Linked DNA regions of Lonchura striata. The protein of the gene in region 1 purifies or fractionates together with the protein of each later gene. This does not show direct contact. Links are inferred from orthologs where the notes say so. Each region holds a gene or a part of one and is shown in the gene's direction. Other genes may lie near its edges. The genes, in order: NOLC1 and NOP58.

What was found.
Region 2: the proteins of NOLC1 (region 1) and NOP58 fractionate together in Homo sapiens (co-fractionation; 3 studies listed by BioGRID, with this or other methods). This does not show direct contact. The link is inferred for Lonchura striata from reciprocal best matches to the Homo sapiens genes NOLC1 and NOP58.

Annotation. Positions count from the first base shown.
Region 1 is NC_134609.1:13,346,160-13,358,088, forward strand, and holds the start of NOLC1 (nucleolar and coiled-body phosphoprotein 1), read left to right. Parts: upstream 1-5,458; 5' UTR 5,459-5,499; coding exon 5,500-5,613; intron 5,614-5,750; coding exon 5,751-5,806; intron 5,807-5,883; coding exon 5,884-6,005; intron 6,006-7,093; coding exon 7,094-7,209; intron 7,210-7,987; coding exon 7,988-8,129; intron 8,130-8,632; coding exon 8,633-8,745; intron 8,746-9,396; coding exon 9,397-9,547; intron 9,548-10,062; coding exon 10,063-10,203; intron 10,204-10,598; coding exon 10,599-10,688; intron 10,689-11,929. Other genes in the region: PIK3AP1 (phosphoinositide 3-kinase adapter protein 1), read right to left, coding at 2,302-2,314. UniProt on the Homo sapiens protein: Nucleolar protein that acts as a regulator of RNA polymerase I by connecting RNA polymerase I with enzymes responsible for ribosomal processing and modification.
Region 2 is NC_134610.1:26,729,638-26,741,566, reverse strand, and holds the start of NOP58 (nucleolar protein 58), read left to right. Parts: upstream 1-4,466; 5' UTR 4,467-4,549; coding exon 4,550-4,594; intron 4,595-6,627; coding exon 6,628-6,704; intron 6,705-8,412; coding exon 8,413-8,465; intron 8,466-8,660; exon of another isoform or gene 8,661-8,749; intron 8,750-10,147; coding exon 10,148-10,272; intron 10,273-11,263; coding exon 11,264-11,400; intron 11,401-11,929. Other genes in the region: SUMO1 (small ubiquitin-related modifier 1), read right to left, coding at 601-612. UniProt on the Homo sapiens protein: Required for the biogenesis of box C/D snoRNAs such as U3, U8 and U14 snoRNAs. Part of the small subunit (SSU) processome, first precursor of the small eukaryotic ribosomal subunit.

The DNA of each region.
Region 1 (11,929 bases):
ATACTTTTGCTTCTGTTTACAAAATGTCAGCACTATTAACAATATTGCAGGGTATGTTCATTTGCTTCATAGAAAATCATAAAGGTGCAGTTCTGTTGCAGTTTGCAGTGCTAAACCATAACCTTTGGAATACTTTCCAGCTGTAACTGCCTCTCCAGTGTTTAGCTGCACACTTTACTACACAGCAACGATAACAGACTGGTGAGATTACAAACTAGTACCATAGACATGCCTAAGACCCATCATTGAAGTGTAAGCCCCACAAACAGCACAAATGGCATGATACAAAGCTTTCCCCAGCACACAAATCGCTCATAGAATGGAAGAGGCTGAAACAATTCAGTAAAAATCATATACGCTCATGGCAAGCATATAGAAGTATGCATGACCATGTCATGTCTTCACAGTCTCTCTCTGAAAAGCAAATAAATCAGGCACATCTCCATACTATGTCTGCACGTAGTGAGGTGATAATCATTAGGCTCACTCTAAACATGCAATAGTGGTTTATGGCTGTATCATAAGGTTCTGATTACCACTGAAATAGCTAAACAATACTGTGAGAAGCTGGCATATCAGCTCTGGGTAAGACTACATCTTACATTATCGACTGTTATTATCTATCGTTTCATTCCATAAGCCAAAAGGTTTGACTCTTTTTCAATTTATAGATCATAAAGTTTTCCATTGTATTTATGGATCGCATAAAGAATATTCAGGGCTGTAGCAATACACAACTTTTCTATGTCATCTTTCACACACCTCTCTCTCATAAGTAGATAATGACTTCTCATTGCCCACAGACCAGGTAAAAAAACAGACTAAATCCTTCACTCTAACTTATCATATGCAGTGGCAAACAATTTATCTTCATCTGCTACAAGAAAATCCATCTCTGACTACATAAGAAAGGCATTATGTAACCTGTTCCAGTGTGTTTTGTGATTCATGTGTATGGAGGATACAGAAATAATGCTGTTCAAAATAACAATCCTTGACAGATGGGAATTGACTCTCCATTAAAGATAATTGTTTATGGCATAAAGGAAATGCAACTCAAAGCATCTTAATAATCAAATTCTTATAAGAGAGAGCACTTCCAGCAAGTCATAGAAACTGCTGGTGGGCCATTAAAATAAGTCCTCAGCACATTCCACATTTCAGTATGTGAAGTGTGTGTATTTAAGTGATGTATGATGAAATAAATGCATACTCTGCATACATGAAATGCACAGTAATAGTGATCACATGAGACTTCTTACCTCAACTGGAATATAAAATCTTCACTTTAAATAAAATGCTGCAAACAAGTAAGAGGAAACAGCAGAACCAAAGCAGACAACATTTCTGCAAACTTAACTTCACAGAGAGGAACGAGAGATTTGCATTATGATACATTAATCTAAAGTTGTTCTTTTTTTAAGGGTCTCTGTGAAATCACCTTCTGTTTATAAGGAGAAAAGTAGTTTTGCCCACAAGTCTCCCGAGACCTCCGTTTAACTTATTTTTACCTCACAAGGAGATACGCGTCAATGAAACACAAATGTTACTTCACACCCTGAGAATGGCACGTTTTTTTTCCTTTTTTAGATAAAACCCATACGCTTCCCTGCAAAGAGAGGAACTTGCAAATTGGGCATTAGCAAGATTTACACAATACAGGCTAAACTCCTCTCCCCTTGAGTCTGCAACTCTTAGTCTAGGTAGCCTTACCTGCACACACGTCAGCTAAAACACTTTCAATTACGGCAAACTAGCTTAGCTTGTGATCCTGTGCCATTGTGGCAAGAGGCACCAAGTATACCCCCAAAAGGAAGTGGTGCTGAAGAATAAAGCCATATTTAGGAAAAACTGACTTCTCTATAAAACATCACAGAAAAGCACACAAGTCGTACAGGCGGACACGAGCAAAATACTCTACAGAAACCCTCCCTCAGAAGTCGCTGATCTGCCAAGCCGAAGTTCACTTAAGACGCAGGAAAGCTCTGCCAGCAGCTGCCCTGAACTGCAGACAAGCGAAGCAAGGCGAGCTAGAAAGCGCTACGAGCGAAGGAGCGCCGGGGCTCCCTGAACCCGGAGAGCGGACCGCCTTCCCTTTCTCCGGCAGCGGAGCGCCAGGGGCGCGCAGAGCCGCGCAGCGGCACCGCCCCGCGCGGGCAGCGGGCAGGGCTCCGCTACGCTCCGCTTGCCGGCACCGTGCCGCGGGGCAGCTCCGGGCAGCCGCGGCCCGCCGCAGCACAACCGCGCGGAGAAGCCCCGCCGCTTCCCCGCGGCTCCCGGGACGGCAGCCGCGGCACCTACCGGGGGCCGCCATGGTCCGGGGCTGGCGCTCCCCTTCCCTCACATCGGCGGCGCAGCAAGGCGGTGCATCCCCCGGAGCCGCTCCCTCGCCCCCAGCACAGCCCAGGGCACGGCACCGGGCTCCTCCCGGCCCCGCCTCCCGCCCGCGGCGCCCCCTGCAGAGCCCGGCACGGGCTGCCCCTGCCCGGCCGCACGTCGCCTTTCCGGTACTCGGCGGGACTCTGCCCCAAGGAGGGAAGCTGCCTGTTCCAGCTGGCTCCTATCACACTTTCCGTAGGTGGCCGAGGAAACAGCGCTACAGCGAGGAAAGTTGTGTTACAGTAATACAGTGGTCTCAAGAAACCGGGAACAACAGTTGAGGAGAAGAATAAGCGATACCTGTTTTATACTCATCCCTAACTTAGGTTTTGTCATGTCTTCTATGAGGAAGGAAAACTCCTAGGGAGAAGCCAAGCTGCTCCCTAAGAATGAAGTAGCTCGATGTTCTGTGTTTTCAGCTAGAAGATGCTGTCTTCCAAATGAAATTTACCAGTTTCTGTAAGACTGTGCTCATGTTTGAGTACAGAGACAATAAGCACCAGAAGGACAACGTTATTGTTCAGAGAGTAGGACTCAATTTACTAATCTTGTCACTGGAGACAAAGCAACAGATTCTGCCTAAATTATTCAGCCTATTCCTTTGCAAACTTTGAAAAACCACTTTGAAAAACCAGTGAGATCTTTCATTGATGCACTTCACACCAAAAGCAGACTCCTTACAATCTGGCTTCCCAGTCAAGGCAGTCATTCGACATTCTGTAAACAGCTTAACGTCACCACTAGTTTTAGAACAGAGGTGATTACAAGCAGAAAGGAACCAACTGTTTTCCACTAATAAACTCTATCTCAGAAGTTAGTCAAACTCTCTTGTTACCTCCAAATCTTTCTTTACTGAAAACCTATTTTAAGCTTACAAACTGCATGCCACTACCTGTCTTCCAAAACCCAGGTGTTCTCTCAATAGGAAAGCACTAGGACTAAAAGCACTTCCTGATGATAAAGCTTTATGAGTAATTCCAGGTTTGCAAAGAAGAAACCATAACTTTCCCCTCTGAATCATCCCAAAATTATACACTAAAGAACACACAGACACTGGAGAAGAATCCCAACTTGGGATTTATATGAAAGACAAAAGTTAACTAGTTGGAAACGAGAATCTTTAAGCAAATTATTTTACTATTATGCAACAGCAAGTATATATTAAGAACTATTTAAACAAATGGATGACTTTATGACTGTTCCACATTATTTTACTGTCTTGGGGAATACAAGGACAAAATGGCTTTCCCTGCCAGGTGATCTGGACAGCTGCAGGCACAGCATAGGCGAACACACCCAGAGAGCCACACACCTTTGAAGAGAAGCGGCTACACAGCACAGGGAACAGACCTAGCTGGCAAAGGCCAGGCAGGAGAGGGAGATACTTATTAACCAGAGGAGAAGCAAAGTGAGCCAGTAAAGCAAACACAGTCAGTCATTTTCCCGGCTCCTCACAGCCAGGGAAATTCACACAGTTACTTCACACAGCAGGGCTTAAAGTAACAACAGTTTACCAGCAAAAGCTGCATCTTTTCCTTTCCAACGCAGGCAAAAACACAAAAGTTTGCTGAGCTTTGCAGATGAAGCTTGCAGCTGTAGGTCACTGTAGAGGGGAAACTACAAAAACTATTAGTTCCTGCAAACAGTTTCCTTTCTGCAACACAGCCTCGTGTTATTCCACACATAAAAGGGGCAGGGAATCTCAAAAACAAGTAAACATATCTAACCAAGCCTCCGCACAACACCCCTTTTCTGCCACACAGGCTACAGCATCTGTACAAAATTACAGAATCTTACAGTACAAAATACCACAAGAGCTGACTTCTGTTTCCCCATGAGTGCAAACATGGGTCCTTCCAGAAACACCAGGAACAGGTACAATTTGCTGAGAACAGAGCCCGTCCAGTTGTGCATATTCATTGGGCACCAAGGCACAGAACACCCACAGAGCACAGAACAGCAGTATTTGGAAATAGTTAAGTGCAGAGAGCTAGGTAGGGGAAATATAAAAAGCAAAATACTGCCTACCTACCACTGTTTTTTTGAGCCTGGCAGCCCTAAATCTAGACTTTAAGTACAGGACTCTCTTCTTCCTTGGCCCTCAGCAAGCTTTATAGTACCATCTATTGAAGGAAAAGAAGAAAAGTGCCATTCATCACAAAGGCAGGAATAGAGAGCTACATCCAGCAGAGCAAATCTGCAGTATTACAGAAAAAAAAAAAAAAAAAAAACCAACAAAAACTTTCCTGTAAAAGTAACTAAAGCTACTTAAATATACAACAGGTGAATTAAATCTCATCCTCATCCTCATCAGTGTTGTGAGCACACTAACACACTAAGCTTGTCCTGCTCAGCCCCATCTGGGGCTTCCACATCCACCCTTTTCCATAGGTCCAGAAGCTCCATTTAAGGTCAGGTCCGGGTCTTCAGCACTTATTTGAGCTATACCTATTTCATACCTTATCTCCCACCTTGAAGCCCCTCAAGCCTATATTCTAGACAACCTTGTCTCAAATTCATTTTCTGTCTCTCACAGGCTGCCGCTTTAGGATTATGGTGTTACTTTCACCAGCTCTCTCTGTTCCCGTAGGGATTTTGCAGGAGTATTCAGTACGTTCCTGTATGGGTTCAGGCTGAGAGCAGCGGCGAGTGCCGGCAGCGGCCCCGAGCTCCGCCCGCAGCCCTGCGGGGCTGCGCCGCGCTGCTGAGGGCTCTGCCGGCACCGAGCCTGCCCGCAGCTCCCAGCCTGCTCTCCGCCCCAGAGCAGCCCAGCTCCTGCTCTCCAGCATTCCCCCAGCGGTCTCCTTTCAGCCATTTACAACAGATTACAAGTACGAGTAAGCTGGTGAGTCTTAAGCGGACTTAAGTCTAAGAGTCGAATCCAGAGCGGAGTGGGCACTCCCGGGCTCCCAGCCCCTGTCCCGCCGCTGCCCCACAGGCGGCAGCAGCAGCAGCACGGAGCGTGCCCGCCGCCTCACGCCGGGCAGCGCCCCGGAGCGGCGCCGCGCGGGCAGCTCGGCAGCGGTAGGGGCGGGGTCACGTAGGCGCGCGTACGCACGCACGCACGCACGCACGCTCGCAAGCGCGGGCGCGTGCGCGCGCGGCACGTGTCGGCGCGGCATGATGGCGGAGCGGCGCGCGGTGCCCAGCGACCTGTTCCCCCTCGTGCTCGCGTTCCTGCGCGAGAGCGGCTGCCAGGGCGCCGCGCGCGCCCTCGCCAGGGAGGCGGCGGCGGTGAGCGGGGAGCGGAGCGGAGCGGAGCGGGACGGGACGGGACGGGACGGGACGGACGGGTGGGCGGGGGGACCGACCCACCGACCGACCGACTGACTGACTGACTGACTGACTGAGTGTGGCCTCTCTCGCTTTAGAAGGAGCAGGACCCCAACGCGGCCTCCCTCCTGGACATCTTCACCTACTGGCTGCGGTAAGTCCCCGCGGGGTGCGGTGTCCCTCCGCCCGGCCCGCGCCCCGCGGGACCCCGCTCAGCCCTTCTGCCCGCAGGTCTCCGGCGGCCAAGAAGGGAAAGCTGGTCCCGAACGGCGCCCAGGCGAAGAGGAAGCCGTCCGCCAGCAGCAGTGACAGCTCCAGCGAAGAGGATGAGAAGCCCCCGGCCAAGAAACGTGGTAGGTTTGTGCGCCGCCCTGGTGCACACCCGGATTATGTTTGCCATTGGCTTCTCACGTGCGTTTAGAGCTCAACTTCAGTTGCTCTTTTAAGGTCTTTCAGCAGCTGTCAGGGATTAGGTTTGTATTAACTGATTTCGGTTTTGGCAGGTCTTTTACCCATGACATGGAAGATAGGTTCATTTTAGTTAAGGCTGATCTCTGTATCTTGTTAAAATTTAGGCACAGCAGTTTGTGTCCCATGGAAGGTTTTAGCCATTCCAGAGAAATCCTAGGTATCCATACTCACCTGCTGCTTGCGTGAGGTTGCTGCCCTTTTTTCTTTAGAGCTCATGTACTAGTGCTACCAAAAAATATATCCCTGTGCTGCACTTTGCTATATGGTGAGCTAGATTTTTCTGTTTTATCTGAAACTGTTCTTGTATCTTTCATTAATCACTGTACACAAGATTGTGTGTGTCTAGCAGTAGGTTTACAGGAGGGAAAGAATAAATGAGGAAAGGGAGAAACACAGAAAAATTTGTCGTCAACTTGGGCCATCCTAAAGCTGAATTTGAATTTAGATCTTATTTTTATTTGATAAGGACATTTGTAAATATAATATAAGACAAAACTCTTTGTTTTGCTCCACATTATTGAAAAGCAGTCAGTAACCAGGAAGTGGATTTGGCCAAAACACATTTGGGTGTCTGGAACCTTAACACGACATTGCAGTGTTTCTCTTTGCAAGCACCAGTCAGTACTGGTTCAGCAGGTTTCTTTAAGCTGGAAGGTGTGCAGACCCAGCTAATATTATCTCAGTTTGAGGGGTGCTCTTTCTTTTTGGGATGTCCTCTTTGGTGATAGAAATCTGCACTTAAATTTGTGTGTGACAAAGATAAAGCCTGGAATGGTTTTATCTTTTTGCTTACCCATTTTAGAGCAGTCTGCCATACACTGCTCAAGAAACAAAGTCAGTTTTACAAACTTCAGTCATGGTTTAATTACCTTAATGTATCCTTTTGCCCTAACACCCACTAGTGCAGGATGTAAGTACTAGAAAGTTGTGAATTAACTTGCCATCAATGTATACTGTCCCTTTTTTGCAGCTAAAGCATCAGCTGTGCCCAAAGCAAAAGCAGTTCCTGCAGCCAAGATGGCAGAGAGCAGCAGTGAGGACTCCAGCGATGATTCAGACTCGGAGGAGGAAAAGAAGCCAGCAAAGGTTGGCTTTTCTTTCCAGCATCTTTAATGTGTGTTTGACAGTGATGAATACTAGCAAATTTAACCAACAGAATTGTGTGGGATATTGGGCTTACTATCCCTGGACTATGAAGTGCCCATGCTGCTGTAGATAACCATGCAAAAAGACATTTCTGTAGTGCAGTTTGGATTGGTCCCAGGAAAAGTTAATTTTTTGTCCTGCACCCACCCTCTTTGTTTCATATCCAAGTCTGGTCCTTGCTCTTATCCTAAGACTGCCAGGGCTTAATTCCTTTGTAAAGAAAGATTCAGTACTATGAGTTTGATCTTTATGTATATGGGTGTGTGTATGTGTTTGCATAAAAAAAAGAATCTTCTCTTTGCTTTTTCTTGCTGCAGTCATGGTCTTGAAGTGGAGGCAAGGAACAATGATGTCAGGGGAGGAAGAGTGATAACATTGTACACTAGAGGAGACCAACTAGAGTTGCCCAGTCATTATTTTCAGTCTTCAAGCTAGTGGGATCTGTAGATAAGAGAAGAGGACAGTGCCAGCCTCAGAACTGCCCCATTTTCAGGAGGCAAAACTGAAGACTGATGTGCATTTCTGGGAGGTTTTCTAGAGCAAAACTTTTCCCAGGATTTTCAGACCCTGACCACTAAGCAGACTGGCGTTTTCAAATCTAAATCGTAACTTCTGTGAAAGACAGCTGTTTCTACACTCTGTATATGTGTCCATCTTATTAGCCTTGTTTACTTTTCATGACTTTGAGGCTTAATCAGTTTTTCCTGCTGTTGTTTAGAAAGGTGCAAAACCTGTGGTGAAGCCAGCTGGGACCAAAATCCAGCCTCAGAAGAAAGCAGAGAGTTCCAGTTCTGACTCAAGCAGCTCAGATGAAGAAGCACCAAAGAAGCAACCACCAAAAGCAGCAACACCGAAATCAGGTACCTGTTACTGTGTATCATGAGTAAAGTGCAAAATCCAAAAAGCAGGGGGAGGAGTGCTGGGGGCTGTACCTACATGCAGAGACATACGTATTAACATAGCAGTCTGAAAATCTGCTTTTGCTGCCATTTGCACTCCAGTCTAGTCTCTTCTGACATAGAGGTGTAGAACTGAATGAAAATAAAACATCTGGTCCTGAGCACCACATTGTTTGAATAACTGTTTATCTATTACTTTTACCATTGTCGTCTCCTCAAACAGCAGGGAAGATTATTACTAAGCCTTTAGTTTTGGAACTTCCCATGAGCTACAAGACAGTTTCCAGAAAATTTTCTCTAAGGTTGCAGTAGGATAAACCAAGAGTTTTGCAGTACTACTGCAAAAGCAGTACTACTTAATCTGCTCTGTGGTTCTTTTCTCTCTAAGATACTCACTGCTCTATGTAATTATCCCTCATCTACATAGCATGTTTTGCAATGTCCCGTTTTACTTCTCTCAAAAGGAAGTAAAGCTGCTCAGGCAGCCACCAAAGTTGTCAATGGAAAAGCAGCAAGCAGTAGCAGTAGCAGCAGCAGCAGTGAAGATTCTGATGAGGAAAAGGCTGCACCAAAAAAGGTAAATTAGACTATGAAAAAAATTAATGAACAGTGTAGAAGTCTAGTAACACTGGGTATTATCTTGCAGGCACAGACTACACAGATGCTGTGCTCAACATAACTCTTACACCTGCTTCTCCTTCCTATGGTGGGATTATGTGTTCTAGCATCTCTTCATGTACTGCTTTCTTCCCTAATATCTCCTTACTACTTTCTCTGCTCCTTCCTTTACAGGAAAACATCTTATTGTGTCATAACTATATTGTGTCTCCATTTTATAAAGTTGCTTTGGTCTGACTCTTTCATGTTTAGCTGTTGCTTTGAGTTTTCCACTAGCAAGTGTTTAAAAATGTTTCTTGCAACACAAAAATAAACATAGTTGTTTTTAATCATGTGGCAGTTGCTAAATTTCAGTCAGTCCTCCATCCTTTTGTCCAGAGGAGCTCATCATTAGGGGTTCATGGAGCAGAAAACAATAGCAGAGGAGATAGAAAGATAATGATACTCATGTGTTTCTTAAAATTTGTGTTTGAGAATCTTGGTTAATCTCTTTCCCTTTGTCTTGAGAATTTGCTCTTAAGTGAGGTGTGGAGTTAAGCAAGATCCACATCCAGTTGTCCCCACAAGATTTCTGCAATTTCTTTTTTTAATATATATTTCTTTTGATAAGGCTGTTCCCAAGAAATCACCTCTGCCAAAACCTGCAGCCACTCAAGCGTGTCTAGGGAAAACCAAACATGCCAAGAAAAGTTCCAGTAGTGAGGACTCATCTGACAGCTCAGATGATGAAAAGCCACCTGCAAAGCAAAAGCCAAAATCTGGTACGTAAAAAATACTAAATAGTTTGGTTATTTTTTTTTTTTTTGTGAAGTATCCAGGGCCATTCAGTTGGAGTCCAGCTGATGGGCTCAATGGGCCTCTGTTTAGTGTGGTATAATGTCCTTAGGCTTCCAGTAGAGAGTTGGTCTGAGTAGAGAGTCAATCATCTAAGGTCAGTCTGACTCTCTAACCAGAGGATTTGAAAAGGCAATAAATGAAAACAATGAAAAATTGACATATCTGATTTTCCTTCTGTAAAAGTTTGCTGACAAGCTCCTGTTCTTCTAAAAGTGCAGAGACAACTTCTGCAGAGATGGTTGGGTCAGCTGAACCCCTAGATGAGAGTTAAACTCAGTAAAAACAAGGAGGTAGCAGTGAGGTGGGTATAATCTATAAGCTAGTTTTGGATTGTAGCTACAGAAGGGGAATAAATGGAAGTGAACAGCAGAATACAACAAACACCTTGTGCTGCTCACATTACCCTGCTGACATCTGAATGCTGTGTTTCTCTTCATAGGCCCATACAGCGCTGTACCACCTCCTCAAGGAACACAGACAAAGAAGGGACTTGCTAAGGCTCCTGCAAAAAAGGCTGAGAGCAGTGACTCTTCAGACAGTAGTGATGAGGCAGAGCAGGTGCCCTCAAAGGCAGAGGCAGGTGCGTTGTGAGGAGGAGAGGCTGCATGGGAAGTACTACATTGTGCCAACAAGGTTTCTGCAAGGTCTTGGCTTCCTTGAAAAAGCCATTTGTCTTTGCTCTATGTTGCTATTTGGTCTTCTGGAATCTTCTGACTAATTTGAAGGCAAGCCAAACAACACTCTGTACAACTTGTGGATCTGAACTGTGGTCAGCTTGCATTTGTACATGCTGATTTGAAAAGTCATTGGGATCTAGTTTAGTGGGAATAAGTGAAGTTCTTGCAGAGCTTCCAGTAGGCTGGCTGAGTAGCTGGTATACTGAGAGTGGAGCTTTTTCACATCTGGTAAGGTTTGGATCCAGGGACAAAGGTTTGGTGTGGATGTGGCCTATTAATTTTAAACTTTCTTTTGCAGGCAAAGCAGCAGTAACTAAAACAATCCCTGCCCCTCAGAAGAAAGCTGTGACTAGCAAGAAGGCTGAATCCAGTTCTGACAGTGACTCAGGTAATTCAGTAAATAAAGTTCTAATTCTTTTGTGTTAATGTTTTTGCTGGCCAGGTTGCCCCATAGTGGTGTATCCAAGAGCCTTAGTGTTTGAGCTTAAAAGCTTCAGAGTCTCCATGACTAGCAAGATATGAAATTGAAAACCTGCAGCCTGCTATTCAACGTGGAGTGTGACCATGAGACAAGACCATTGGCAGGTGTAGGAAAGTCTCCATACTGCTGGATGGAAAGGGCAGGGAATTGTGAATCAGGTTTCTCACAGACTTTTAATGGTTAAACTGTTCTTGAGTGTCTTTGTCTTGAGATTTTTGTAGTTTGTTATTCCGTTGTGTTTGGAGAAGTTTCTGAAATAAAAATGTAATCACCATATGACATTCAAAATAGACTTGGAAGATGCCTCCCTTCTAACGTGACCCTAGAAACGGGAGCAGTGTACTTTGTCTCTCGTGTTGACCAGGTTTGAAGTTTGATGTTTCCCATATAAGTTCCCTGTGTGCTACAATTTCCTTCTGAGTTCAAGAAACTCCTTTGGCGTATCTCAGCATCTCTGGTGGCATTGCAGGGACTGGGCAGCAGCTGCCAGTCTGTCTGCAGACAGCTAGCCCTAGCACTAGGTTGTGTGACACACCAGTGAGTGTCAGCTCAAAATTGTCAAGTTTTTGATTGCTCTTGCTAAAGTGTTCAGAAATACTGGAATAGATCAGGTTTAGTATTCCAGATCCATGTAACACAAACAAAGGCGTATTTGTACTCAAGAGTCTCCATTTTCAAACTGCTGCTATCTCATCTGATAGAGGAATTAGCTAAAATGAGATACTGTGCTGTTGCTGCCTCACTTTGTATGCTTTGTCAACTTTTATCTCTTAATTTTTATATGGCTTTTTTGATCTTTACCACATAGATTATTTTTTTCAATGTTTCTTGTCCCCAAGTTTGATGATAGTGGTACTTTTTCTAAAGTTCCTTATTCAGTACCTCTTCTCTATATTATTCTCCAAATATTTATTTCACTGTACATTCATTAGTGAATAACTTAAACTGTTTCCACTTTCTCCCAACAAGGAAGATGCATAGAAAATTTAATGCTGTGCCTTAACTGTTCAAGTGTTCATCAGATGCTTGCCAGTTCCCTAGTGCCTCAGCCTTGAGCCACAAGCCATTTTGCTTTTCACTTGCCCATAAATTACATACATGTTACCACTAAAGTAACTTGCACATGAAACCTGTTAACTTGAAGAACG
Region 2 (11,929 bases), on another chromosome or scaffold:
GCCTTCATAAAGGACGGGGTGTTTAATACAAGCAAGCAACGCTCAGCTGAGAAACGAGGGGGAGAAAAACAGGCTTTCACATTCCTCGGGCGAACGGAGTACCTGGCAAGCCTAGCCTAACCCTCACAAAGCCCGCTCCGGGGGAAAACCATCCTACCACACACCCGGGAAACGAAAAACGAAAGGAAACAACAGTTGTGCAACACAGCTTATCCCTCGCCGCATTCCCGGGTTTCCAGGGCCGGGGCTGTCCCGGCGGCGATTCGCTTCGTCCGGACACCGCCCCGGCCCCCGTGTATCCCTGCCTGGAGCCCGACCGCGCTCCTCGCGAAACACCCCGAGGAAAGAAGAGAAAAGGATTAAAATGCACGCGGAGAGGGGCCCGAATCGGCCGAGGTCGGAGATCGGCATCCATCCATACACACACACACACTCCTCTCGGAGAACGTTCCCCCCGGCGCCCTCCGGGCGACCGCGACTCTGCCCGCCCCGGGCAGGGCTGCCCCGCGGCGGCGGAGAGTGCGGGCGGGGGGCGGCAGCTCCTCCCGAGCCCCCGGGGCCGCCGCGCCGTTCCCCCGCGGCCGGGACAGCTGCCCGTACCTGGTCAGACATGATTCGGCCCCGTGTCGTGCGGCAGGCTCGGCTGGGCCGCTGCAAGCGCTCCGCTCCTTTCTCTGCCCGCAGCGCAAACACAGGGCCGCGGCACGGGCGGGATTTCCGGTGCGCCTGAGCTCATTTCCCTCCCGGGCCCCGCCTGCGGCCCCGCCCGGCCCTCGCGCGGCACCGGCTCCCGCCGAGGCCGCGGGGGAGGCGAGAGTCGCCGTCGAAAGAAGCGACCAACGTTAAGGGCAGCCCTGGCGACCGGAGCCAGGGTTGCCACAGCTACGGTGACGGGCCTGGAGCATCTCTCTTCATGAGGAGAGACTGCGGAAGCTGGGCCTGTTCAGTCTGGAGGAGATTGTGAGGGGATCTCACGAATGCACAGAAATACCTCCAAGGCGGGTGCCAAGGGGATGGTCCCAGACGCTTCTCAGTGGTGCTCAATGACAGAACGAACAGTAATGGCCATAAACTAAAAGATAATGAGTTCCACCTCACCTTGAGAAAGCGCTTTCTCAGGTTGAGGGTGGCAGAGCACTGGAACAGGCTGCCCAGGGAAGTCATGGAGTCTGCCTCTCTGGAGATATTCAAACCCCTCCTGGTCATGTTCCCGTGTCACCTGCTGCAGGTGACCCTGCGTGGCAGGGCTTGGACTCGATGCTCTCCAGAGATCCCTTCCAATCCTGACAATTATGTGAAGTCACATAACCCTTCCCACAATAGTAGATCTTGGAGCAAAAATCACTTTCATACTGCCTACCTCTAATATCTTGCTGAGGTTGTTATTAAGACAATATGCCATAGCAAAACTCACTTTTGTTTAGAGACAGTGTTTTTTTTGCAACCATGCAAGCAATGGGATCTGCATGTATTAAGCAAATCTGCAGCCAGGCTTGCATTTGAATAAATTTGCAAAGATGTATCATTAGAACAGGTGCCCTGCTTTACATTGGCACAGCATCGCTATTCAGAAGTCTGCACAAGAAATAACATCTACCTAAAAGATTACATTTAGGCTGCAAGCTGTTTGGACTATAGCATGGAGTCCTAACATCCCCTCTACAACTGCTCAGGCAACTCCTGCATGGCATCACTACTGGCATATGCTTAGATCTAAGTGACCACCAGCAAGTAGAAAAAAAACTCCACACATGAGAACCATGAAATAGCATGAATGTAAAATTAATGAATCAACAGAAACTAGCTCAATTGAAAAAATGAGATTATTACCCTTATGCTACTAAACAGAGTTTCAACTTTACCATCTACCTTTGGGAAAGTGCAGAGTACATTCATTAGCTCTGAGCAAGAGGCATTCATTAACATAAACAGGCCAATGCTCTGTGTGCCATATTCCCTTGTAATAACACCAAACACCAAAGCAGCTGATCTCTGTGCCTGCATTTCTGCTTATCAGTGAATGCCAAGCTACAAACAGAGCTACACCAAGAGGTGCACTTTTGCCAGCCAGCAGAACAATCAGTATCTAGACTCATGGGAATTAGTTCTAATCACAACTGTTAAAACAAGTCAGAATTAACAAGGGAGGGAAAAATAAATAAAGAGAACCAAAACAAATGCTATACAGAGCTAGAGAATGAAGATGATCTTTCTTAGACAAGGCCAAGCAGAAAAGCCAAATATGTTCATGCTATGCCAAGCTCACAGTAAGAGCTCATTATGAGCTTAATAATACACACAAAGCACCAAAATAAGCCATGCAAGGGCTCCACAACAACGCACAATACTAGCAAAATGGAAAATGACAAATATTCTATCCTGAACATTACTGCTTTTTATAAATTTTAAATGGGTTTTTAAAAACAGAGCCTTACTGTGCTAAGGCCAAAGTCTCAGACTCTGGCACAAACCCAATTTTTTCAAGTAATCCCATAATAAAAGCTAACACTCATATGAGTTAGAGTGCAGTTATCTATCCACATGCATAGCCATAAAGATACAGGGTTAGAATGTGCTTATCAGCACACACACTAACAGTAGCACCACCTTTCACCACCCTTCTTATTCCATCAATTGTGGATGCACCAGCTCTCCAAGACACAAGCTAGTTTTATACAGGATCTTCAAAGTTAATCTCCACTAAGACTGTGAAAACTGTGGATGCACAGCAGTAAAGCTCTCACTTTTCTTTTTCAATGGCTCAAATTCAACATAGAATTCACTTAAAGAGAAAGTAACAAAAGCTGTTTAAAAAATACCAAATATACTTACACAAGCTTCTTCCCACAAAACCCAAAGCCAGCCTTGCATTTGCACGCACTGCCCATAGTACTTGCCCTAACAACCTCACTGAATTCTCAGGTGTTTTATAATGTCTCTTATTTTCCTACCTGCACTTAACCTCAGTCACCTGATGCCAATAAAGTTCACCTCTGTTGACTGATTTCTCCAAAGCTACTGTATAGGAGCCAATAGCTGCAAGAGGTTTTCTCAAAGCTATTGGCCCACACATACATAGAGTCTGTGCAAAGCTTCAGTCCATCAGAAACAGATTTCTTTAAAAAGGAGACTTTAACCTATAAACAATTTGTAATCTCATAATACCAATTTGCTTGCCTGATAGCAGTTAGTGCTAGCCAACAGGATGAATGTAGTATTCTAGGGCAACCAGCTAAGTTAACAGTAGCTCTTACATAATAAGAGTACTCTGCCAGCAGGGCCAGAAATAGTACTTTAAAACTAGGTAGAACCTGGAAATTCTCTACCTCCTTGAACCTAATTTCTTTGGCAATATTACTGGTTGTGGGATTTTAAGAAAATTGGTTATGTGATGTAAAGTACCAAAGTCTTTCCTTTGAATAAAAAAATCTTCAGAAATATTAAAGTCCACAGATTTCTCTCACTGTGGACTTTCCAGCGTACTCCTGGAAACAAAGGCATGCTGACTCATACAGATGGTTGCATAAAACGCAGCAATGACTGTCTGATATAAATCAAAAGCGTTTCTTGGAGCCTCTCTACCTGCGGGCAGGAAAATCTCTGCCTGTTTTCAGTACAGCTAACCCTGCGTATGAAATAAGCGGGGATTTCTAAGGGCAAGGAGCGGCGCTTTCCGCCCGCCTCCCACCGGCACGCAGCTGCTCGGCTCCCCAGCAGGGCCGCGGCACAGAAGGTCAGCCAGGCGCCGCGCTGTGCACGCCCGGGCTGTGCCAAGGACAAAGCACGAGGTGGCACCAGAGTAGGAGGAGGCTCAAGTGGCCGCCCCAGCGCCCCGGGCCGTGCCTTCCCGCAGACGGAGCTGCCCGTGCCCCGGGGAGAGCCGAGCAGCGCGGGGAAACACGCAGCGTTCGAAACGCGTTTTATACGAGCAATTTGGTGCTTGTCTGTTGGCGAAGCCAAGCTTTTAAATACTCGCAATCGCACTGTGTCAACAATTCTTTACGCAAAGGAAATGCTTTCGGTGCGATGAGCTGCAGGTCAGGCCACGGGAGCGAGAGCGGAGTGGGCAGAGAACGCAACCCGCCACGTGCAGAGGGCCGGGAGCGCCGCTGAACCCCGACACCGCGGCCGGTGCGGCTCGGGGTCGCCGAGAGGACCACCCGCTGACCCCTGCTTCGGGGTCCGTTCGGGAAACAAAGTCTCTAGCACGGCCCCTCGCGTCCCGGGGAACACACCCGCTTCCTATCAACGGTGGCCGACCCTGCCGCCAACTGCGGCACCCGGGGAAGCGAGGACAGCTCGGGTGAGGTGCCAGAAGGGCACACCGGCGGCGCCCCAGCTCCCGCGTGTTTGTGCGTCAGGAGACTCGAACCCGCGGCGGGGGCGGCCCCGCCACGTGGCTGGCGGGCGGAAGGCGACCCGCCGCTTCCGCTCCCCGCGCGCTCTCGCTTCCGCTGCCGCCGCCGCTTCCCGTTCCGGTTCCGCCGCGCGGCGCGCGCGTGCTTGAGCGCGGTCGGTGGCGGCGGCGCACGCGGCGCCCGCCGCAGCCATGCTGGTGCTGTTCGAGACCGCCGCCGGCTACGCCATCTTCAAGGTGAGCCGCGGGGCCGCGCTGCCGCTCGCACGGAGGGTCGCGGCCGCCGACCTGCGGCGGAGCAGAAGGGAGGGCGAAGGGGAGCGCGTCGGGCCTGCGGAGGGAATAACGGGGAAACACGGTGGGGGGTGAGGGTGAGGGAGAGGGAGGGAGTGGGGGTGAGGGAGGGAGTGAGGGAGGGAGTGAGGGCTCCCGCATCCCGTGCGGCCCCTCGCGGGGCGAGCAGGGCCGAGGGTGGGAGCAGAGGCCCCGGGGCAGGGGCAAGCTGCTCGGCGGGCAGAAGGGGAGTTACTCGGTGCCTGCCAAGAGGCATCTCTGGCGCTCCCTTCCTCCCCTGTGCCGGGCGGGATTTGGTAGGAAGTGATGCTCTCTGTGCGCTTTCTGTTCCGCGTGGCGGGCGGTGCCGTCTCCCGGCCGTGCGGGGCCCTGCGCTGGGCCTGCCGGCTTCTCGTGTCCCGACCTCGCTCTCCCAGAGGGACGAGCACACACCTTCCCAGGGCTTTGCCGGCCTCCCGACCGGGTGGCTCCGGGCTGCAGCTGCCTGGGACTTTGAGCAAGCCTAAACTAGAGTTGATACAGTGTCGTGCTCATTTCTGGCTTTTCTCTTGCTCGAGTGTTGATGCATGTACAGCTTGGTCATCGTTTGTTCATAATAACGTTCCTATTTTTTCCCCTTTCAGCTTAGTCTTGGGTTTTAGCTTGTGTGAACATGAGTGCAGATGCGAAGAGAGGAAGGGTCTGGTTTCCTTTGCCTGCAGCAGAATTGCATCCTTGCTGGTTTGCTCTCTCTATATTTCCTTTCTCTGCCCTAAAACATTTTCTCCTTATTGGGGTGAAGCCGTACAGTTCAGGCAATATTTTAATACAAACTTTAATATTTTAATTTTTGAAGGTAGATCAGGCATAAAGCAAAGGTAGGAGAAGGGACATACAGAGAGAACTCCAGGGAGGTATCTGCAGAGGTGCTGCAGTGTTTGCTGCAGGTGTCAGCAGTTTTCCATAGGTGTGTCATTTTTATATAGTACCAGTCTTGATTTTAGCAGTTTCTGTGTCTTTAATTTTCTCTATGTGCCTATATCTGTTTATAGAGGCTAAAAATTCTGTAGGTCTTGGTGTAGGAAAAATGAACTGCGGGAAAGAATTGTCTGGCTGAGGTTGCCCCAAGGTTTTGCTGTGCCTCACAGTCATGTGGGATGTCAATTCTACAAATTGAGTTTAAAAAAACACAACCTCCTTCAACCACGGTTTAGAAATCTGCCAGGGAGCAAAATTCATAATACTAGGAATGATTTCTGCACTGAGTTAAATTGCAATTGCTTTGCATTTGCATTGTGGGGACAAAACCACAAGATTATTGAGTGAGATGTAAAGAACTCAGTGTTGTAAAGATCTCGACTATTCCCCTGAACAATTTTTTGGGAATTTCCTGTGCACTCTGCATTTTGTGAAATGTTTATAGGCTCCAGTGTGTTAATCTTGTGCTGCTTAAAACTGAGGGGGTTCCCTGTGTACAGAGATGTGATTAAACCATTGCTGCCTCTTAGGTAATTCTTGGCTTGGTTGATGATCAAGCTGTGGTTCCAACTGTTCTTTACAGGAATTTCTTTTTTGTTTGGGTTAGGTCTGATTAATGAAAATAATTTGGGGGATCAGTGCTTTCTTTTAGGTTTCCCAGATGTTTTATTTTTCCAAAGCAGTGGTAAATTTGGGTTTGGGTCACCATGATTATGAGTCCTGTAGAGGAGGCGGAGCAAGCCCAGTTTTGATAGAGTTTTGCTTTAATGTGCCAGGTCCAGGAGGATGCAGCCATTACTGAAGAACTTCTGTAATTCAGGTGATAGTAAAAATGTTGCACTATTGTCTATTAGTAGGGTAAAGCTGCTGAGGGAGAATGGTGAAACACAGATCATTGAGGTTGACTTTGTTGACTCAGTGTTACCTACTGCAAAGTGGTTGGATACACTGTAAATGTTTCAGGTTTCCTAGGTTGAATAACTAAATATACTTGTGTGCTGTGTTTCTTTTTCCTACAGGTTCTGAATGAGAAAAAGCTTCAGGAAGTTGACAGTCTGTGGAAAGAATTTGAAACTCCTGAAAAAGCAAACAAAATGTAAGCAGCTTTACATGTAGGGATAGCAGTGTGGCTTGTGAAAGAAGGACATGGCTGCCTGTAGTCACACACAGCTGAGGTTCAGAATGAAGTACTGATTTTTGGGTTTCAAAAATTATTATTTCAAAAAGTATTGTAAAAGCTGTGAGCAATGATAATGTGAAGTTAGATACTCTGAGATGCTTTGAGATGCTTACAATGGAATATCAAAATGAAAGAAATACCTTACAGTGTAATTAAGCAGTAGAAGTCATTACCATGTGTCACCAAAACAAAAAAATTGAACAGTATTTTAAGGTAATGTGGGTGCTTTGACAAGAACATCCAAGCTTTTAATGCTGGAAGTGTCAGTGAAATGCCAGGGTTTTGTGCTCACAGGAAATTCTTTTGGGAAAAATAAAACTTAATCCAGGTGGAACTACATAAATCACTGAATTGAGAGCTAGTGTTGTTGGCCATGCCATCAGTGAGAGCACCACTGCAGAGCTGCACAGGGATTGCAGCGTCCTCTAATCAAGCCAGCCTTTCTAGCAAATTGCCCTAAAGCTGGGGACAATGGTGGATTCCTTCCAAGTCTGTCTAGTGATTTTATTGGAAGATTTCTAACCAGCTTTGATTATAATGGATGTATCTGAGTAAGCTATGCATTTCATATTTATCCTGCTCTGTAACACTACTTAGAGCGGAGTCCAGAATATCCTACATCTGCCTGTTTGTAGTGTGGTTAATCTTGTCCTGGAAACATGGTCTTGGCCACTTGCTATACAGAATGTGGCTCTTAATGGGATCTCCATTCTGATAAAAATAATTCCTCTTTTGCCTTTCTGAAAAGGCATCAGTGTAAGCCTGAAGCTTTTGTTGAGATCTGCAAATGCTTAACTCAAGTATTCAGCTGTATCTGTGACCTTGCTTCCTTTGCTGATACTTGACTCACAATCAGCAGTTGTTAATCAGAGCTGGATTAGTTAAATGCCTGTCCCTGACGAGGAATTTACTGGATTGAGATAGCTTTTTAACTGTAACTATATACCAACACCACAGACTGTGAGGGGTAGAGGGAAGCTGTACCTAAGGATCTGTCACAGTGTGGTTAAACAGTCTTCATAGGATTCTTGGCTCTGGTCAGCACTTAGGGCATTAAGAAATTTTTGTTGTTTGTCTTAAACTCAGTTCAGAACTTGTATTCTAACATCTAATTACAGGGGAAGACTTGAGGATTTATGGGCAATGAATCAGTTCAAATTTAAAGTCTTTGAAGATGTATTTGGTTGAAAAGCATGTTAAATCTGAGCTATGCAGGCTCTTCATTCCACAGAGGCAGAATATTTCCTTTTGAAGATGAGTGGGAAGATGCTATCATCAGTCAATCAGGTTGCAGTGTTGAAATTTAAACGGATGATGTCTGTCTTTAAATATGAACTACAATGCAAAACTGGGGGTTAGGTTTTCTGGTGATGTCAGTCCAAGAAATGCCAAATCAAAATTCCTTTTTTTTTTTTTCTTTATATAGTTGTGAGACTGAGCTGAAATGTCACACCAGACTCAACTGGCCAGTTTAGTGCGCTGAGTCCTTTTTGAGGGTCTGCATATTGTTCTTTTGAAGCTGTAGGGAAAAGAGAGGAGCTGTAGTAGCAGAGGCAGAAAAAAAAATGGTTCTAGGATATGGTTTATATACACTTGTTTGCACACTTCTATTTTATTTCTGTAGAGTAAAGCTGAAACACTTCGAAAAATTTCAGGATACAACAGAAGCACTTGCTGGTAAGTGAGTTAACACTATTATTTTAGCTTTTAAATTACAAGTTTTTAAAAGTGAGCTGGTTTTGATGGTTATGAAGTCACCTATCCAGTCTATAGTGCAGTAAAGATGTAATAAAGTGTCATTTTTTCCTTCAGTGCATATATTCCAGCAGTTTATAAATGAGCACCATATAAGTTGTGACTGATACATGTAGCCTGTCTGTTGTCAATGATGGATTCTTGTTGAAGCTGAATATCACTGATTTGAGTCAATAATTCGTCACTACCACTGAGACAACAGATAGGTATTAGAGGTCATTCATTATTACAACCACCTGGGTTTTATGGATACAGCCTAAGAAAGGTCTGTGTTCTCCTCAAATTTAGGAGTTTAAGCAAAATGGAAAACCTTATATTCAATAATTTTTATGAATTCTGCACTTAAATGCTTGATATATGGCCTGGTTTGAACAGAAATGGTAGGAATTCTAGGCAATAATTCAGAAATGGTGTGACAATTACTGCTGAATGTGCTGTATGATTTAAGTAGGTGAGTGTTCCACATCACATTTATAATTAAAGATCTTCATATTCTGATGCAGTAGGGATAGCTTATAAAAGAAGCAAAGAAACAAGAATGGAGACACAACCATCAAACAGGAGATGCAAGTAAAAGAGCTGTTGTACATTGTGGCATATTTTTTTGATTATGCTGCTTTTGCATAGGTTTGGGTTCAGTTCATGTATAGTTAGGCTGGTTAAAAAAACCTCAAAAACATCTAACACCTACTACTTTGCTTCAAGTTGACTTGTATGCAAAATGGAGAGGTTCAGATGACTTATGGCTCATTTATTTTTGAAGGCGTATGTGACTGTTCCAAGGGGTTAGATGCTGTTGGCCAGCTTGCAGGGTAGAAAATTATCTGCATTGTAGAAGGATTGAGAGGAAATTCAGCACAGCACTTTGATTTTACTCCTACATGTCATTAGGTTCTGGAAACCAAAAATCACTGGCTGCTGCTCTGTTACTGTGTTAGAGATGTATCAGTCCCAGAAGTTCAGTGGAGCACAGAGCTGACCCTCAGAGTTGTATAAGTGCCTGCTTAAAATATATTGTGTGGGATTGTAAAGCTTTTACAGATCTATTAATATTTAAGAATGAAGAACATCTTTTAAAGATTCTCCTGTCTGCATGCTGTATTAAAAGGGTCTGTCTGACTGTCCAGTTTGGCATTATTCCTGGGGCTTTAGATAGTACATTATCATCACCAGAGAATGCAAATAAGCCATTACTCAATTTAGGATATTTTGGTTGCTGCCTAAGGGACCTGGCAAATGGTTGGTTAATTAAATTATACACAAAATATTCCCATATAACTTTGCCGTTGGAAATGTTAAGCATGGATCTAAAGCATATGGCATACTGTTTGTAGAGATCCTTAAACAAAATTGGCAAAAATAGAACTGAAAACATACGGAGAAAGGAGAGGCAACTAGGAGAAAGATTTTTGATTTAGGCCTTCAGAGGAGGATGTGTATAATTTTCTTCTATTTTGATTTTCAGCTATTGCATGGTGAAGTAATATTGCAGCTCAAACTAGACTTTACTATGGACAGTTAAAATAAATATATGAAGTTAGAAGTAATATTTTTACAGGTTTTAGGAGAAGGAAACGGTATCTTTGGTCTTTTGTTTTATGCAGCATCCACAGCTCTTGTAGAAGGCAAGCTCAGCAAGAACTTGAAAAAGATTCTCAAGAAGATCGTGGCAAAAGATGCCCACGAGCAGTTGGCTGTGGCAGATGCCAAACTTGGAGGTGTCATAAAGGTGATAACTGATTTTTGTTTTTCCTTTGTCTCATGCTCCTGAAATGCTATAGTCGGATTTCAGAGGTTTTGCAGTGGATTATGCTGCCAGTGCTGTGTTTGCAATATAGAGGATAGTTAATCCTGGTGTGTGTACAGGGAAGATGTTGTCTTGAGAACACAGGTGACTGATATGGTAAGAATGCACTGAGGTCTTCAGGTTTGCTTGATTTCTCTCTTAAACATTGGTCAGAAACCCAGCAAGTAGAAAAATTAATTTTCTAATTATCCAATCCAGATAAAGAGGGGAGGAAGGAACTGATCAAAAAACCCAAGCCAGGCAGACACATACTCCTCACTAACACATGAAGCAGTAGTAGGGTGGTGATTTATTGTCTTTTTGGGAGTGGGCATTGTTGTACCTTCCTCAGTGTGCAGGTAGCTGTGCACACCCCTTGGTCCTTGCCTGCCCAGAGAAAGAAGGAAGTTCAGTGAAGGTGGACTGCTTTTTCCAGTGTCCCCTTGGTGTCAAATACCAGTTGCCCATCTCATGTCCAATTGCTCCCTGTTCCACTGAACTTTGTTCTGTCATGCTGTCTTAGGAGACTCTGTAGGTTGCAAAATAAGAGCTTAATGTTAAAGTGCAAAGACTTTAATCTAATTATTCAGTCTTATTCTCTGAAAAAGTCACAAAGTCCCTAACCCTCTACCTCTGAATTTTCTTTCTGTGACCAAACTTTTTCTAGTAAACTTCAATATCTTGACTCTTAAGTTGAATGTTCTACACAGCAGATAAGAATATTAATTATAAATCTGCTCTTTTCAAAGTGGAATATTAACTGTGTGGGGAACTGGGGGTGTCACTGCCCTGAACATGAAAAATGGATGAAACTTGTGTGATCACAGGATTGCAGTGGGAAAACCAGTTAAAATGATGTAAGGCTGCTGGAAGAAAGACTTCAGAGGAATGTTGTGCTATGCCTGATTTTGGACCGTTGATTTCCACACTGCAGGAGAAGCTGAATTTGAGTTGTATACACAGCCCAATGGTTACAGAGCTGATGAGAGGAATTCGCTCACAGATTGAAGGGCTCATAACAGGCCTCCCTTCTCGAGAGATGGCAGCTATGTGCCTGGGTCTGGCACACAGGTGAGTTCCTACAACAGCTCTGTTTCATCCTGTCTGCCCCATTCCTGTGTCTGGCTGAGCTGCACTGCTTGAAGTGTTTCTGAGTACGTGGCATGGCCTTCTCTGTAAGTCAAGATACTTCTGTAAATGAAATCTTGTTTACAAGATTTTTCAGTTTGCACCCACCATTTAGAGAAAGGTTTCCTCTTCACCCAAAGTGGAAGCCGGTAGCTTTCCTTTTCTTGTTACATACTTCAGGAATTCACCTGGAATAGTCAAGGGAGTCATATAAAGTTCCATTGCCATGAAGAGACAAGGTGGAGACCACAAGTTGATGATTTGGGCTAGAATAAATGCCCATATAATAGATAATGCAAATATTAAAGGCAGGGTTATTCATTCCACCTTGTTCTTGCTGCTTTTTAGATTTAGTGGATTAGTAGCTAAATACAAAGTTGTTGGATCACCATGGGATCAAGCATCCATTAGTGAAGTAACTTTAATCCATATTCTGACATGAGCTTGTCCTGTCACAAGCCACTGGCAAGTT